Linked DNA regions of Lepisosteus oculatus. The protein of the gene in region 2 interacts with the protein of the main gene of each other region in a pairwise test. Links are inferred from orthologs where the notes say so. Each region holds a gene or a part of one and is shown on either strand. Other genes may lie near its edges. The genes, in order: pex26 and pex6.

Region 1 (8,111 bases), on a different chromosome or scaffold from region 2:
AGTGCCTTTAGAAAGTATTCACCCCCTTGATTTCTTTTGCATTTTGTTCCTGTTACACCTCCACATTTAACACATTAAAAATTTTTTTCACTTTTCAATAACACAATAAATTAAACATTTATGAATCTTTTTTTTTTAATTCAAGAACATTCATTTCTCCAGAATGAAAGACTTACATTTCTCATTAACAAAAGTATTTAGCCCCACCCCCAGTCAATACTTTGTACATAGTCCTTTAGCAGCAATTACAGCCATGAGTCTTCTCGGGATTGTCTGTATGAGCTTTGCACATTTAAATTGTGGTATTTTTGCCCATTCTTCAATGCAAATTTGCTCCAACTCTGCCAAATTAGATGGAGAGCATCTGTGGAAAGAAATGTTCAGGTCTCACCACAGAATTTCAATTGGATTCACCTCTGGGCTCTAGCTGGGCCATTCCAGAATACTAACCTTCTTTTTTTCAAACCATTCCTTGATAGTTTTTGCCATGTGCTTTGGGTCATTGTCCTGCTGGAAAATGAATCTTCAACCTAAACGCAGATCTCTGGCTGACTGAAACAGGTTCTCCTCAAGGATTTGCCTGTATTTGGCTCCATCCATGTTGCCCTTGATGGCAACAAGCTTTCCAGTTCCTCCTGCTAAAAAGCAACCCCAGAGCATGATGCTGCCACCACCATGCTTGATGGTGTTACCTGGGTGTTCAGTTGTATTTGGTTTCTAGCAAACTCCAGGAGTGATTTAATGTTGGCCTTTCTCAGAAGTGGCTTCCTTCTAGCCAATCTCCCAAAGAGGCCAAATCTGTGAAGTGCTGAAGAGATTGTTGATGTCTGGACAGTTTCTCCCATTTAAGCCAAAGAGCTCTGCAACTCTGTCAGTGTTGTAGCTGGCCTCTTGGTCACTTCTCTGACAATTGGCCTTCTTGTCCGGTTGCTCAATTTGGTAGGACGGCCTGATCTTAGTAGTGTCTAGGTTGTGCCATGTTTTTTCCATTTTGTTACACTGGACTTCACGGTGCTCCTAGGAAGGCTCAAAGCTTTGCCAATCTTTTAATAACCTTCTCCAGTTTTTTTCCTCCTTACAACTTCTTCTCGAAGTTCCACGGGCAGTGCACCATCGTCACACCCCCGTTCGTCCACCTGCCCAGTTCCTCTCCGTCTCCTCCCCGTGTCTGTTGCACTCCCTTCCGGATTCTATCGTCTGCATAGGGTCCTGATCTACTCTTCGTGACATTTAGTGTGATATCTCTCAAGGTGGTTGAATACCTCACCCAATTTAGGTTGTTAAAACAAAGGGGGTGAATACTTATCAATTAAGAAATTTTCAGATTTTTATTTTTAATATAATTTTGAAGACGTCTAAATACTTCATTTCATTTTAACATTTTAGAGGAAAAAAATCCCATTTAAATATGTTTTAATTTGACTTTGCAACACAGTAGAACAAGAAATCATCAATGGGGGTGAATACTTTTTGAAGGCACTGTAAACTACTTAATTTTATTAATCAATACCCAGATTTCCTTGTCAATCTCATTATTGGCCCCCAAAACATATTGCACTATTATGAGTACACAACACGCCCTTGTTTGTCTTTGGCTGTAGCGGTACCTTGATGTGTCCTCCTGCTCAGGGACACTCCCCATGCTGTCCAAACCTCTCTCGCATGAATCCAGCGCTGCTCGAAAATCCCGCTGCACCATCAGCTGCTCGGCGGCGGTCTCCAGCAGGCTGAGCGCCTGAGCCGAGCCCTGGGACAGCAGCGGGCTGCTGCCGAGTCGCACCGAGCCCAGGCCCCTCACATGGGCCAGAGAGGTGGAGGAGCTGCTCCGCATCCTTGCAGAGAAACAGAAAATATTCACTTTCCACAGCAGCGCAAGGACTGCGTCTTCTGTTAAGATACAATGCAACAGCATGCAGATTTGTGTTCACTGTCATAATTCCTTCAGCAAATCCTATAGTGCCTTCAGCAAGTCACCCACAATGGCTACATGGACATACAGTTTTCATTGTATTTGGCATACTGCACTACTTGGACATAATGTATTGCATACACCCTGGACACATAGCAACTCTATTTATATTGAGTTTATCTTATTGAATTTCTATTGCACTATTATCTATCATTATGTAACCTTATTTTGCAACTTTAATTCTGTGATTTTTATCTCTCCCAGTGAGCTCGTAGAAAAGACATTCCATTGCCAGCAACTACTGCTGCACACTGTGTTGTTGTGCATTTGATAAATAAACTTTGATTGATAACTTCAAATAAGAATGAAAGCACTTATTCATCTATCCATCCATTTTCTAACCGCTTTATCCAGTTCAGGGTCTCGGGGGATCCGAAGCCTATCGCGGGAAGCAACTAGCACAGGGCAGGATACACCCTGGACAGAACTCCCATCCAACACCACAGACACAGGCCCCCAGCGCTGCAAACTAGCAATGCCAACTACTGCACCATCATGCCACCATAAGTAATCATTTATTCTGCAAATAGGCATGCATGTACATGTGTACTGCATATCAATCCACTATGAAGTTACTAATCACTCTGAATACAATACTCACTTGTTTCACTTAAGAAGTGAAAAACCCGATCTGGATACTAATGTTAAGTAATTCAGTATGTAAAGGCATAAAAGTATGTAAAGGCATAAAAAAACAACGAAAATCTTTGCGAATATGCATTCGATTAAGAATTTATTTTTAAATTGCAGATGTTAATCGAAAAGTGTCAGGAGGTTTTATCTCCGTAAAAAGCATTACAAATAATTCACTCCATATAGTACGTTTTATATTTATTCTGAGTAAATAACCATCTAACATTTTCTCCACCGTTTGCAGAACTGTACGACAAAAGTTATTTGAGTTTTTATTGATCTTTTTGAACCATCAATCCATTAACACTAACATCATTTTAAAGAGATCATTTTTAAAGAGACTTTTACTTACTATACTCTTCACATTTACTATATAATATACCAACCTTTCACGCACTCACAGCACGTTTAATCCTGTTTCGCAGAAAACTGACTTTCACTATTTAAAATTGAGCAGGTAACATTAATGTATTTTACCACATCGAAACGCAAGAGGAAAAGAAAGCAAAAAAAAGATATTGTGTTGATTTAGAAATCTGCGTCTAAAAAATCAAAACCTTATTACACTTTTTTCCACATCAAAGTTAAAACTGATCAGCTACACAGCGGACATACTTGGAGCGGATGTCAACAACGCAATGAACTGTGGGAATCATAGTTTTTACTGTTAGAATGCACTCATTGGAGACCGCTAGAAAACTACACTTCCCATAATATATGTTTGTGGAGACTATAATAATAATAATAATAATTGCTTACACTTATATAGCGCTTTTCTGGACACTCCACTCAAAGCGCTTTACAGGTAATGGGGACTCCCCTCCACCACCACCAATGTGCAGCATCCACCTGGATGATGCGACGGCAGCCATAGTGCGCCAGAACGCTCACCACACATCAGCTATCAGTGGGGAGGAGAGCAGAGTAATGTAGCCAATTTGGCCAGGACACCGGGGTACACCCCTACTCTTTTCGAGAAGAGCCCTGGGATTTTTAATGACCACAGAGAGTCAGGACCTCGGTTTTACGTCTCATCCGAAGGACGGACTAATACTTATTTTTATAATTTTATAAAGCAGCAACTTACTAATATTTTATTTTTATAAGATTATAATTAATTTAATATAATACATAACAAATATATTATTGAATATAATATACTTTATATTTTATCTTTATAAATGTTTCTTATTTGTTTATTCTCTGGTATATGAAATATTACAGCAGGAGCTACCAGCTATTCTTCATACCTGCCAAGTATTGCAAAAGTATTCAGACCCCTAGATCAGATATTTTGTTTCTTTAAAGCTGGCAGTCACGACACCGTTGAAACAGCAATGAATAGTTATCACATGCACAGCCTATTCCACAGCACTGCATCTGTAGCAGCAGGAAGGTTAAGATGCTCTTGACTTTTGTAGCGTTTGTGTCCTCTATTCTTAACACATAGAGAGATAAACAGAAAAAAAAATTAAAAGTTAGCACAACCTATACTATTTGTGATATAACATGGAATCTAGAATAGTAGGAGATGGAGCGTGAGTAGGACACCAGCTATCTCAATCTGACACACTTGATTGTTATTTTTTTAACTGTTTGGGTTTTCTTATACATTTATTTTGTGAGCAACTGCAGTACTTACACAATCTGACCGATTTTTCTAGAGTTTTGTCACAAAAGCTATTCTTGATCTACTTCATGATTTCTGTTAATTCTAAATCGGAGCAAGACCTTAGACTATATGGACAGTGGATAATTTTAGTTTTTTTCAGTCTCCCATTCTCTTCCCTTTTCCCCTTCTCCCCCTCTACAATCAAAAGCTCAGTTTTTTTAATAACTGAATTATCCTGACTTCAATACATACACTTACAATTAATCTAAGTTAGGTTTTTCCTATCAGCTTTTGAGGATTTCCCTTGATAGACTTATTTTATAAATCAGGTGGGTAGCTGCGTCAGCATGCGTAGGCTGCAAAGGAACAAGTAATAGGTTTATTCCATGCTGAAAAAAAGAAGAAAGAGAACACAACGTTGAAACGTTGTGTTCTCTTTCTTCTTTTTTTCAGCATGGAATAAACCTATTACTTGTTATTTTATAAATATTCAATTATTCTACAGCTATTGCCTATGCATTTCCCCTGTTTTAACTGACAGCTCAGATGTTATGCCACTAAGACAGTGACATTAAAACAAAACGTTCTATTTTTTAAAGAGTGGTTTAATGTCTGAAATCATGTGTACACTTTAACATACTCTGTGACAGTTCAAGAACACTTCAGAACACAGCAGTGCAGGTTTTTAGGGCTAATTGTAATGATCTGTATTTAGTAACTTTGGGATAAAAATCTTCAGACTGCTTGCTATTTCCATCTGTATCCCATGGTCTGTCTTAGCATTTGCTCACTATTTTGTACAGTGTTAAGCAAATGTATATGAAATAGCCATCTTTTGTCTTACAGGCAATCTACTGCATTCCTATAGTGCTTCCTCTAAGAGCTACAGGTCAGGTGCAGCTGAAGTCTTTATTGGAGAATAAAAGTGTGTTGTTCAGATGACTGGCTTTAAATGAATTAAAAATACTATGTGAATGTTAAAAATTCCAAAATGAAAATGACAAAACTCCACTTAATTGCAGAAATAAATATAACTGATTAACTCAGTATTTTTTTGTTTTTGCTTGCCTGTAGTGATTCACTCAAGCACATAAATCTGTGTTGATATCAATTAATGTCTCTGTGGGAGTTTGAATATGACAGCTCTAGGCGTGGGAACAGATACAGACATTGGTCTTATACAATTGTAGATAGAACTTTTAATCAGATTATGTGAACATTGGGGTAAGTATAAACCTACTCTGGATACTTTACTTGTGTGCTGTCATGTGTAATCTGCACATGATATACCGATTCTTTTCGTTCAAATACAGTGTCAAATCTCTGGAGTTGTCCTGTAATTATACTGTAATTAATCATTCGATCTTAAATTATATATTTTGTAGTTGTATTAATCAAGGCAATAATAACTCAAACATTTATATAAACATAAATCAGCCTCTTTGGCCAATTTAAACTACAGTGTATAGTTCAAAATATTTGTACATATGAAATCAAAATCTCTCAGCACTCAAGATTTGTTTTCTCTGTTGGGTTAATCAGTACTAGACAGTTTTTCTCTTGCAGGTGTGACAGTGGAACACAGCTCTTTCTGCACTCCGTACTCCGCGGCGCTAGGGAATGCACAGCTACTGTAACTACAGCACCTGAGGCTTAACAGGTTTGCTATTTAACATCCCCGCGAGCGCGCGGATGGGGTCCAAGCTCTGAACCAGCGTTGTAGCGAAGTGGTTACCGAAGTATAATTTTCCCTTTAGTGGAAAGACTTTTCGTTGTACAGTATATAGCGGAGAAGACGCCTTACGATACGACTATACACCAGCACACCGCTTGCTCCGTGGTTACGGAAACGAAGCGCTCTGCCGGTGTTCAGGCAGTCCACGCAAGCCCCTCACTATTAACGTTTGGCGCCAAATTACACTCCTGAGTGTCTGTGGCAAACAGCCTTCTGCTATCCAGGCCATTGTCCTTCTTAACGCACATTAATTTCCCCTGTTCTTGGCAGGGGGTGGATACTTTTGTAAGACACAATGTGCATTTCATTGTCGCATGTTAGCCAGAATCACGCTGTGTTCCAGCTCTGAGGATGTTATTGGAGATACCGGCTTAATAATGAGAGATACACACACAATGGAAGAAACGATAGTATTTTGAGCAGTAATGTTAGTGAGATTGACTTTAAGTTTCTGATTGACTCTGTGGTACTCGGAGCATGATGGCTTAATAAAATTACATCTTGAAGGAAAGCCCTTGTTCCCATTTGTAATGGTACAAAGCTCACAGTGAATCCAAATATGTGGATGTAAAAATAAAATAATGATTGTGCATTTGAAAAATCCTCCTCTGTAAAGATAGTAAGGACTTTGTGTAATAAGGAAATATATGAAGCCATCTTCCATCAAATATAAATTTTTTGACAGGTTTTATTTTGTTTACAAAACATGTCATGACTTGTGATTGTCATTGATTTTGATTTTTTAAAAGAAATCCTGCGATCCTTCCCTAGGCCTATTTAATGAAAAATATTTTCTCAGAATTCAGTGCCCAAATTCAGTCCACAGATACAGTATTTGAGGAATAAAAAAGGAGGTGGGGGCCTGTAGTGTCAGGCAGCTGTTTTCCATTGGGTGGCCTTCTCTCTCTCAACAAGCTGCGCGCACACAGGCAGCAGTTTGACCCTCAGACGTCTCTGATTAACTATGCGAGAGCAACTCGAGAAGACTGCTTCCTTTGTTTTTGGCCCAAAATAGGTTACTGTGGCGACTGTGCAGCACATAGTCCAAAAAACACAGCCTTGGAGTGTGAGTGCATGTTCTTCCTTGGAGCAATTCTGCAAACATGGAGGGGAATAAAAGTGAAGCTAAGTCAGGAGCTGAAACTGTTTACTTGAGGAAGAAGATTGACCTGCTGGGAGCTGTCTGTCTGATCATCGGCACTGTGGTGGGCAGTGGGATCTTCATTGCTCCCAAAGGTGTTCTCAAGAACAGTGGCAACGTGGGTTTGTCTCTGATCATCTGGGTGCTCTCTGGGATACTGTCCACCTTCGGTGAGTGGCGATACCAGCAGACTTTGTATGGTAGTTCTAGTCTAGTGTTCAGGTTGTTCTCCTTTGATTTAAATTATAAAAATAGTTGCAAAAATGTAGTTTTTTTTTTTGCTCTCTTGACTAATGAAAAATCATAAAAAGGTGGATTTAGCTACATGTTAAAGCATTGAACCATTATGTTATAAACACTATGCAAGAAAATTATCCTGTTGTTCACCTGTGGAACACCACCATTGTTCTGTGGGCTTCAACATGTTTAACATACTGTATAAATGGAAATCCTTAAGCAGTAAGGGTGCTGTTAACAAATTTAGCCAAGGTGACAAAAAATGGAACAATGATTTCACCTCTCATTCTGGCCATGAGATGTAAAAAGCTTGTATCAGAAACATAAAAGGTTTGTTAATTTTAACTATGCATATCCCTTCAAAACAGAAAAGGTATTTTTGTTATAATAATAATTGCTTACACTTATATAGCGCTTTTCTGGACACTCCACGCAAAGCACTTTACAAGTAATGGGGACTCCCCTCCACCACCACCGTGCAGCATCCACCTGGATGATGCAACAGCAGATATAGTGCGTCGGAACGCTCACCACACATCAGCTATCAGTGGGGAGGAGAGCAGAGTAATGTAGCCAATTTATAGAGGGGGATTATTAGGAGGCCATGATCAGTAAGGGCCATTGGGAAATTTGGCCAGGACACCGGGGTTACACCCCTACTCTTTTCGAGAAGCGCCCTGGGATTTTTAATGACCACAGAGAGTCAGGTCCTCGGTTTTACGTCTCATCTGAAGGACGGCGCCTGTTTTACAGTATAGTGTCACCTTCACTATACTGGGACATT
Region 2 (7,911 bases):
CATAACTGAAGTGCTGGACGACTAAGACTGCATCACTAATGCTTCCAGTGCCCTTTGAGGAACTAGAAGTCCACTGTGCTACTGTGTTAACGTGTAGATGTTATACAGTATCTCTACTAATGATTCAGGTATTGATGGATGGGTAACTCCAAATGTTAACGAACAAAGATTCAGAATGTTTTTTTCATTTTTCATTCACAAACGGGAAAAGATGACACTAATGCCTTATATTTCAATTTTTTCTCAAATAACCTTTATAGATCCTTACTCAAAACTGCATGTAGGTCTGAAAGGCGATATGGGATGTGATATTTTAGCTGAATTTTTCCAACAAAAAGGTTATTGATGTATGGATATTGTTCCACGAAAAAAAAACAGAAAATGATTTCTGGGACATTAGCTACTATACTACCATTGCATTCCTGTACAATGTCTATTTACATTCAACATATATATCCAAAGACAATTCTCTCTTACCAAGTACAAGGATGTGTGTTCTGTATCAGCCAGATAACCAAAAGGGCTCATCTCTCCATTCTCTGTAGTAGTGCCACAAACCTTCTTCACCCTGAAATACAATACTGGCCAACTGCGAGATAACAAGACAACATAAAACAATTAGATAAAAAATAGGCATGAACAACTAGGATATTAGTTACAAGCATAACCAGATTTCTAGTGGGCATTTACCATGACAACTTTGCAAGACATTGTCACAATGCCTTTCTGTGCTAATACCATGAATTTGTTTTACCTGGTCACTGTTACATGTAATCTAAATTATGCTTTACTGTATCTCTCTGTTCTTCACCATGATTTCACTAAGCATGGACACACCTAGCATTTTCCAAGTCATATACCGCAGTAAACTTTTAGAATCAAGATGTTTAATATTGTGGAGACAAAGATAATTATTTTTCACAGACAGATTTAAACTGTTCTATATGCTTTAATATACAGCTGATTTTGCTTAAAGTTTCTGGGCTGAGAGATTACCTTGTAAATCCTTCAGTGTGACTCTCTAGGAATGCTGCATGTCCTTCAGTAGGAATGCTCAAAACATCCCCTAATTGCACCAGCCTGAAATGACAAAATATCAGCTGGAGTGAAATTTGATCAAGTTTTAAATGCAGTATGTACTGTATATAATATGCTGAAAAAAGAAGAAAGAAAACACAACGTTTCAGCCGTGGAGCACCATGGCCGAAACGTTGCGTTTTCTTTCTTCTCTTTTCAGCATGGAATAAACCTATTACTTGTTCCTTTGCAGCCTACACATGCTGATGCAGCTACCCACCTGAACATGTATATAATATGTAGTATATACGTGATACAATAATGATGATTCCTACTGTACATGGGACAAACCCTTCCTTGACACCAGTTACATTAAGGGTGTTCCTGCAGTTTTAAAATGGAGTGGGCCTATGACTATTCATATCTTTGAGACACTTGACTAACCTGGGTGTGCTAAAGTGTGCATAGAGAACACTATCAATACTGCCTTTGGAGCTGTAGTCAGGTGAAATGATGGCGTCAATGTGCAGTTCTCTGGCAAAGGGTAAAGATGCTGTGGAGGACCTGCTGTCTTTCAGCTGTCTCTCTTGTTGGGAAACCTGCTCATAGCATCTCTGCAGAAAAACAGGAGAAAAAGACTCACTTCAAATTATGGTACTTCTTACCACTCGCAAGGATTAGTTCAACCAGTCCCTTCTGTTCACTGAACTAGAGATATTCCCCAATATGTACACTCTAGCTCATAAAGTATTGCCAACATGGAGAAGCACAATTTCTCCCATATTTGAATAGTTTACGTTAGAAATGACGTGATCAACTTAATGTTTTAGAAAATGTTCCATCTACATCCTTCTCAAGTGGAATACAAGACACAGACCTCAGCACTCACCTTTATCTTGACAACTCTGCTGGCGATGGGCATTGGGGCCCCACCAGATAAGTTAAACCACAGAGAGGGCGAGACGAAGCCCACGTTTTCGTGAAACTCCAGGTCTTGAGATCTGGTGAATTCAGCAACAACAACTGCAGCGAGGTGCCCACCTCTGTGTGTCACGGCGTCTTTACTGCAGGCATGGTCCTCGGGTTTCTCAGGACAGTCACTCCTAACCGAAACCCTCATTTTGTCCGAAGAGAGGCTTAACGTGGACACAACAACCCATTCGTGGTTGAACAGACCCAGTTTAAGGAGTGAGTGTTTGCTCACAAAAATAGAAGCATCCACGTTGGTCCCCAAATCTGCCTTATCTTTTATTTTAATCCTCCCTTGCTTCAGCAGGCTGGACACATCCATTACTCTGACGTCAAATCTGCATTCCAATGCTTGCAGAAAATCAGAGAAGTCTGACTTAATGACTTTCTTCTTTTCTAACAGCGAACGCCCCCCAGAGAAGCTATTAGCGTAGTGTGCAAAATCAGAAGCATACAGGGATGTTAAAAGTCTAGTCGTCGACGCCTGGCTTGAGCCCTCTAAAGGGCCGTGATTCTGCGCCAAGTCTCTGCAGTCTGTGACCACCACAGTCGTGTTAACTGTTATGACTCCCTGCGTAACAGGTGTACACTCCAGGACAACCAGGTCTAAAAAATACTGATTAACCTGGGCGATATCGTCGCCAAAAAGTGGGTGGTAAGGCACTAACAACACGTCACCCTGCCTCGCCAAAACGTTTTGTTTCTGACAGGAGGCGAGTATGAGAAGTCCATTCGAGAACTTATCGGAATTTGCCCATTTAAAGCTCTGTCTGCTTTTTGCGCCAACCACTATTTTACTCAGGCCTATTGGAGACGCCAAACGCACCGTCACTTTTGCACCAGGCTGAAACCCGTAATGCCGAAAAAACAGTCTGCTTGTGTAAAGTTTTAGCAGTGTATCGCTGTTCACGAAGGTAGCAAACTCCGGAATGTCTTCCTCTGTCGTGACATGGGCACACAGAAACATGTCAGCTCTCGGAGGAGACTGCCGCCTCCGCGCACAAAGCAGCACACATGGTAATTCATTTCTACCTGGAAATATCTGATTGAACTGTGATTTTGCAAGCAGGACATGCAATTGATTATAATGAGACGGAAACGTATCCAAGCAAAACAACTCTGCCTGCGCTGCCATATTGTCGAATGCAGCACGAACTGATGAAATCAGGAAATCAAGCAGAGAGACGAGCTGTCGAACCTTTTGTCTTTCTTCGCTTCAACCATCAGAGGGCATCACACAACAAAATACAGTATTTCAAAGTCGTTACTTACGGATTGCGACGAAAATACAAATATTTAGGGACGCAATTATGCTGGACTGAAAAATCAATCACTGTGGACGATTTTACAGTACTTTTAATAAATTAAGATGTATTGTGGCGCACAGTTAATAGTATATGCATAGAATATCAGTGCTCTTTAATCGATATTCGCGTTTCAACTTCAACATTTGTGTTTCACCTGATAGATTGTTAGTCATATTTCTTGAAATATGAAAAAAACACGACAGACAAATGATAATACATTTAAACGTGATAACTCATTAAAAAAGAATAACCTGTTATTGGACGATACTATAAGTATAGAAATTGTAGCACATAATTACACGACATCTTTTTTTAATAAATGCAATTGTATTGTATATCTACAGCAAGCTTAATGAAAAATGCATTCCTACACTAACATGTACACAAAAGGTGTTTTAATATTGATGTATAATTGAATATATTTTGTTCTCCAAATGTTTTCTAGGCATGAATGTTATGTTCCCAATTCAAACGAAATAATACAACTAATAAAAAGTAATCTCAATATATTTTGAGTTCCTCCTGTATATCCTTTTCATTTCCTCTTTATATCGATGTTATAATTTCACACTGTGTCTTGATTTACACCTTTCACATTTCTGTTACCCAGAACGTCCGTGTTTTAAAAATAATAATCATAATTGCTTACACTTAAATAGAGCTTTTCTGGACACTCCACTCAAAGCACTTTACAGGTAATGGGGACTCCCCTCCACCACCAATGTGCAGCCCCACCTGGATGATGCGACGGCAGCCATAGTGCTCCAAACGCTCACCACACATCAGCTGTGGGGAGGAGAGCAGAGTAATGAAGCCAGTTCAGAGAGGGGGATTATTAGGAGGCCATGATTGGTAAGGGCCAATGGGAAATTTGGCCAGGACGCCGCGGTTACACCCCTGCTCCTTTCGAGAAACACCCTGGGATTTTTAATCACCACAGAGAGTCAGGACCTCGGTTTTAAGTCTCGTCCGAAGAACGGCGCCTGTTTACAGTATAGTGTCCCCGTCACTATACTGGGGCATTAGGACCCACATGGACCGCAGGGTGAGCGCCCCCCGCTGGCCCCACTATCACCTCTTTCAGCAGCAACCTTAGTTTTTCCAAGGAGGTTTCCCATCCAGGTACTGACCAGGCTCACACCTGCTGAGCTACAGTGGGTTTTAGAATGTTCAAAAGCAGCGTGTCCATTGTAGAGCGGAATAACAATATTATTGTTATTAATTATTATTATTATTATTATTTATCTAAATGTTTGGCAATGTTTAATTATTATTGCTTTGCTTTAGCAGCACAAATTCATCGGTCATGCCGTGCAAGCTCTTTGAATCTGGATCACTGTCAGGAGGCTTTTGGATTGGATTCTGCAGCCCTACACTGCACTGGCACAATGCGAGTGGGTTTACAGTCCATTCTTTAGCACCGTACTTGACATTAGAACCGCCGGGAACAGGCTAAATCGGGAGAATTACGCTCCTGTCGCGGAACTGAACCTGAAAGAGGAATTCCTGGGAACTGGCCTCACTGGGATGCTTTTCCCACGCGTGGCCCGCGGAGAGCAGACACCAGCTGCAGTGCATCCTCTGCGAGCAACAAGTGTTATTCAACCGGCATTTTCCCATCCATCCTCTCAGCCTCTTCTTTCAAGCCCTCTCTTCTTTTTTATATTATTTTCAGAACTCAAATCCCACAACACCCGCTGACATTTATTCTTAACACAAAGCCCTTCCTTCCCACCGAAGACAATGCCAGCCCCGCATATAGACTTGCATCTGGGAAGCGCTGATGAACAAACACCACTTTGTCTTTTGCGATCGTCGTGGGTGCCGGGATGGTGGAAATTATATACAGTACAATGCATTCTAGCAGGAAAAACATCCTTATGTTCAACATACTGTAGACCTCTTTTAGATAGAAGTATGCAACCATTCTTCTAAAACGTGAATTGTTTCTATTTTAAATTCAGCGCAATACGCAAGATTTCTCCTGCCGGTTTTACTGAGACAAACGTTGGTGCCTTAAAGCAATTGGCTTGTTAATTGCTAATCCATTGTGCTCTGCACGCGTGGGTTCGAATCCCATCCTCGTCGTCTTGAGCTTCATTGTCTTGATGCACTGTTTGCACTTTGTTTTGTTTTTTACACTTGTTTTACAAACGAGAGACTTTCTGTAAGTAAGAATTCCATTGTTCCAGTACCGGTTACATATGGCAATGAAGTTCAAGTTCAAGTTGTTACCTTTATTTGTATGACTCAGTTCCTAAGAAGAGAAAACGTACAATTGTGCACGAAATATGAATTTGATAAGAGTCGTTGGATTTGCTTATTCTTTATTCGCCTTTGAAATGAAATTAAAAATAGGCTATACACATCAAGCATGTATCAGAGATGTTAAAATCTACAAACCGGACTTTTTTTTTCCCATAGACGTTGTGCAGAAATGCATTCCGAAGAGTTTAAATATGATAAACCTTATTATTTTTTTCATAGAAGTACATATTCTACCACCTAAACGACACTCCAAAACACAACCTGCTAAATATTACAGGTCTGTTCAGAAGGTTCTGGGAGTGTGGAACAAGGTCCCCAGTCATTGTGAAGTCGATACTTATTTCAATTAACAGCTGGATGGGATACTCGAATCAATTAGCTACTAACGATAAAAAAAACATAACTATTCTCATGTTTTTTAACATTGTGAAAAAAAGATGACTTCCTCTTAAATTCTGCACTCTGTTTTATATGCTTATTTAATATATATTATTTATATGCAGTTATCTTGACACCGCAACTTTCTGCAATGGTAAATACGGTATTTCTTGTATGTTTACAATCCCGATTAAAAGTGTGAAACGAAGAGCCTTCTTTCGGAATCTGATCCTCTTTTTAGCCTGAACCGATCAAAGGGCAAGAGTTAACTTATGATGTTAACGAACGCAACTCGTTACTGCAGCCAGTGATCAATTCACAGATTAATATCCGCCTGCTAGGATAACCTACAGTATTTCAAAGCTGTTTAAGTGATGTGGTAGCGAACCTATCACAGTCAGCACCCTGCTATCCTACCCGAGTGAGTTCCCGAGGAGGCGGGTCGCTGCGGTTCTTTAAAGTTGAATAAGTTGGCGGCGCGGAGCGCAGTTCTGGGGAGTCTGGAGCCCGGAGCCTGGATAGAGATCCGTCAGGCAGGCGGGAGAGAGAGAGAGCAGGCGGAATTAAATTTTCAGTGGCCAGGGGCTAAACTTGAGCAGAATGACCTCCAAATGCCCCAGATGCGAAAAGCCTGTCTTTTTTGGTAAGACTTTGCCTTGTTTTCTCGGCGTGTTGCATGGATGAACACATACTGTACATTGTTAGGAAGAATGCAAGCAAACCAGCTGGTGTGGCTGAGTGTTATTGTTTTTAAGGTGGCGTGCAGGCAGTCCCACCACTTTAATGTGTTACTTTTGTTGCAGCGTTATAGTGATTACAAAACGGCACAAGCTGCGATCATGCTGTAATGTTTGGTTTCCTATTGTCTTAATTATACTTCTAAAATGAGAGGGCTGTGTGGCGTTATGGATTTATTTTCCTGTTTAAGTTTTTAAGCTATCCTTATCTGTATGTTTTAATTCAGTAGCCGAAGTAAATCAAATTTTTATTGCTTAAAGCTTTCTTCTCTAAGCACAATATCTCATCTGAAAATGTAATGTCATTATCTAATCCTAGTTGCTCAAGTCTTTTGTTTTCCATATAATTCATCTTAATGCTCTGACGTCCAAAACTTGTTGTTCATGGTTACCCTTTTAATCGAGCTCGACAGACGCGTATTAAACTAGACTTCCAGCTCTTATCTTTTAATTATTATGGATGTTTGTAAGTAATTGCCTTCAAATGTCCTCTCTGCAATGCGAGCTGTTGTACAGTATTGTGGAGACTACGCATGCCGTAGAAACACCAGATCTTCTACAGCGTGGGCTGTTTTCCTCTGTTGTAGCTGCAGAAGGATGTCGCAGAAATATGGCAAAAATAAATTAGTGAATCAATCGGTTTTTGCTGAACAAGCCTGTCGCTTGCTTTTTAACGTTAATACTGAGACAATTTAAACGGTTAGGCGTTACATACAGTAGTTGCAGCTTGTGTTTAACATAAGTAGCTTTTAGTGGAGGTTTGAGACAGACTGGTGTGCTGGCAGATTGTCAATGACAGTGGTCTATCGCGCCAGTGCGGTATCAGGTGCTGCTACGGACATAATCAAGCTATCTGATACAATAGAATGAAGGCTTGTAAACACCCTCCTAACTGCTATTAAAATAGGTCATAACAAATAAGTTATGTAACCGTTTGGCACATGCTGTGATGCTGGAGCTCCATCAATAGTCCGTTGTCACCGCAAAGGATGGCTGTTTTTGACAGGAAGCCATTCAGCTATGCCTTAATTGTGTAGGGAGAGTTGCAGAGTGCTCGCAGTGCTCATAGAAGCAAAAGACATGGACTGCCTGCCCGTTATTATTCAGGAAAAAGACACGGGGACATTGCCTTGTGCTGGAATAGGAATCCAGGGTCGTATGCTATGCACATACGTGAAAGACCCAAAGGTGAAGATGTAAAAGACATTAGAATTTGTTTTAAACTTTCTGTAATT

What was found.
Region 1: the proteins of pex6 (region 2) and pex26 come close enough for resonance energy transfer, tested with the Homo sapiens proteins (2 studies listed by BioGRID). The link is inferred for Lepisosteus oculatus from reciprocal best matches to the Homo sapiens genes PEX6 and PEX26.

What each region holds. Positions count from the first base shown.
Region 1 is NC_090702.1:9,040,688-9,048,798, reverse strand, and holds the start of pex26 (peroxisome assembly protein 26), read right to left. Parts: upstream 3,223-8,111; 5' UTR 2,989-3,222; intron 1,833-2,988; 5' UTR 1,832-1,832; coding exon 1,608-1,831; intron 1-1,607. Other genes in the region: cystine/glutamate transporter, read left to right, coding at 7,053-7,260. UniProt on the Homo sapiens protein: Peroxisomal docking factor that anchors PEX1 and PEX6 to peroxisome membranes. PEX26 is therefore required for the formation of the PEX1-PEX6 AAA ATPase complex, a complex that mediates the extraction of the PEX5 receptor from peroxisomal membrane.
Region 2 is NC_090712.1:3,844,923-3,852,833, forward strand, and holds the start of pex6 (peroxisomal ATPase PEX6), read right to left. Parts: upstream 3,135-7,911; 5' UTR 3,122-3,134; coding exon 1,907-3,121; intron 1,632-1,906; coding exon 1,462-1,631; intron 1,081-1,461; coding exon 997-1,080; intron 590-996; coding exon 478-589; intron 1-477. Other genes in the region: crip3 (cysteine-rich protein 3), read left to right, coding at 6,540-6,582. UniProt on the Homo sapiens protein: Component of the PEX1-PEX6 AAA ATPase complex, a protein dislocase complex that mediates the ATP-dependent extraction of the PEX5 receptor from peroxisomal membranes, an essential step for PEX5 recycling.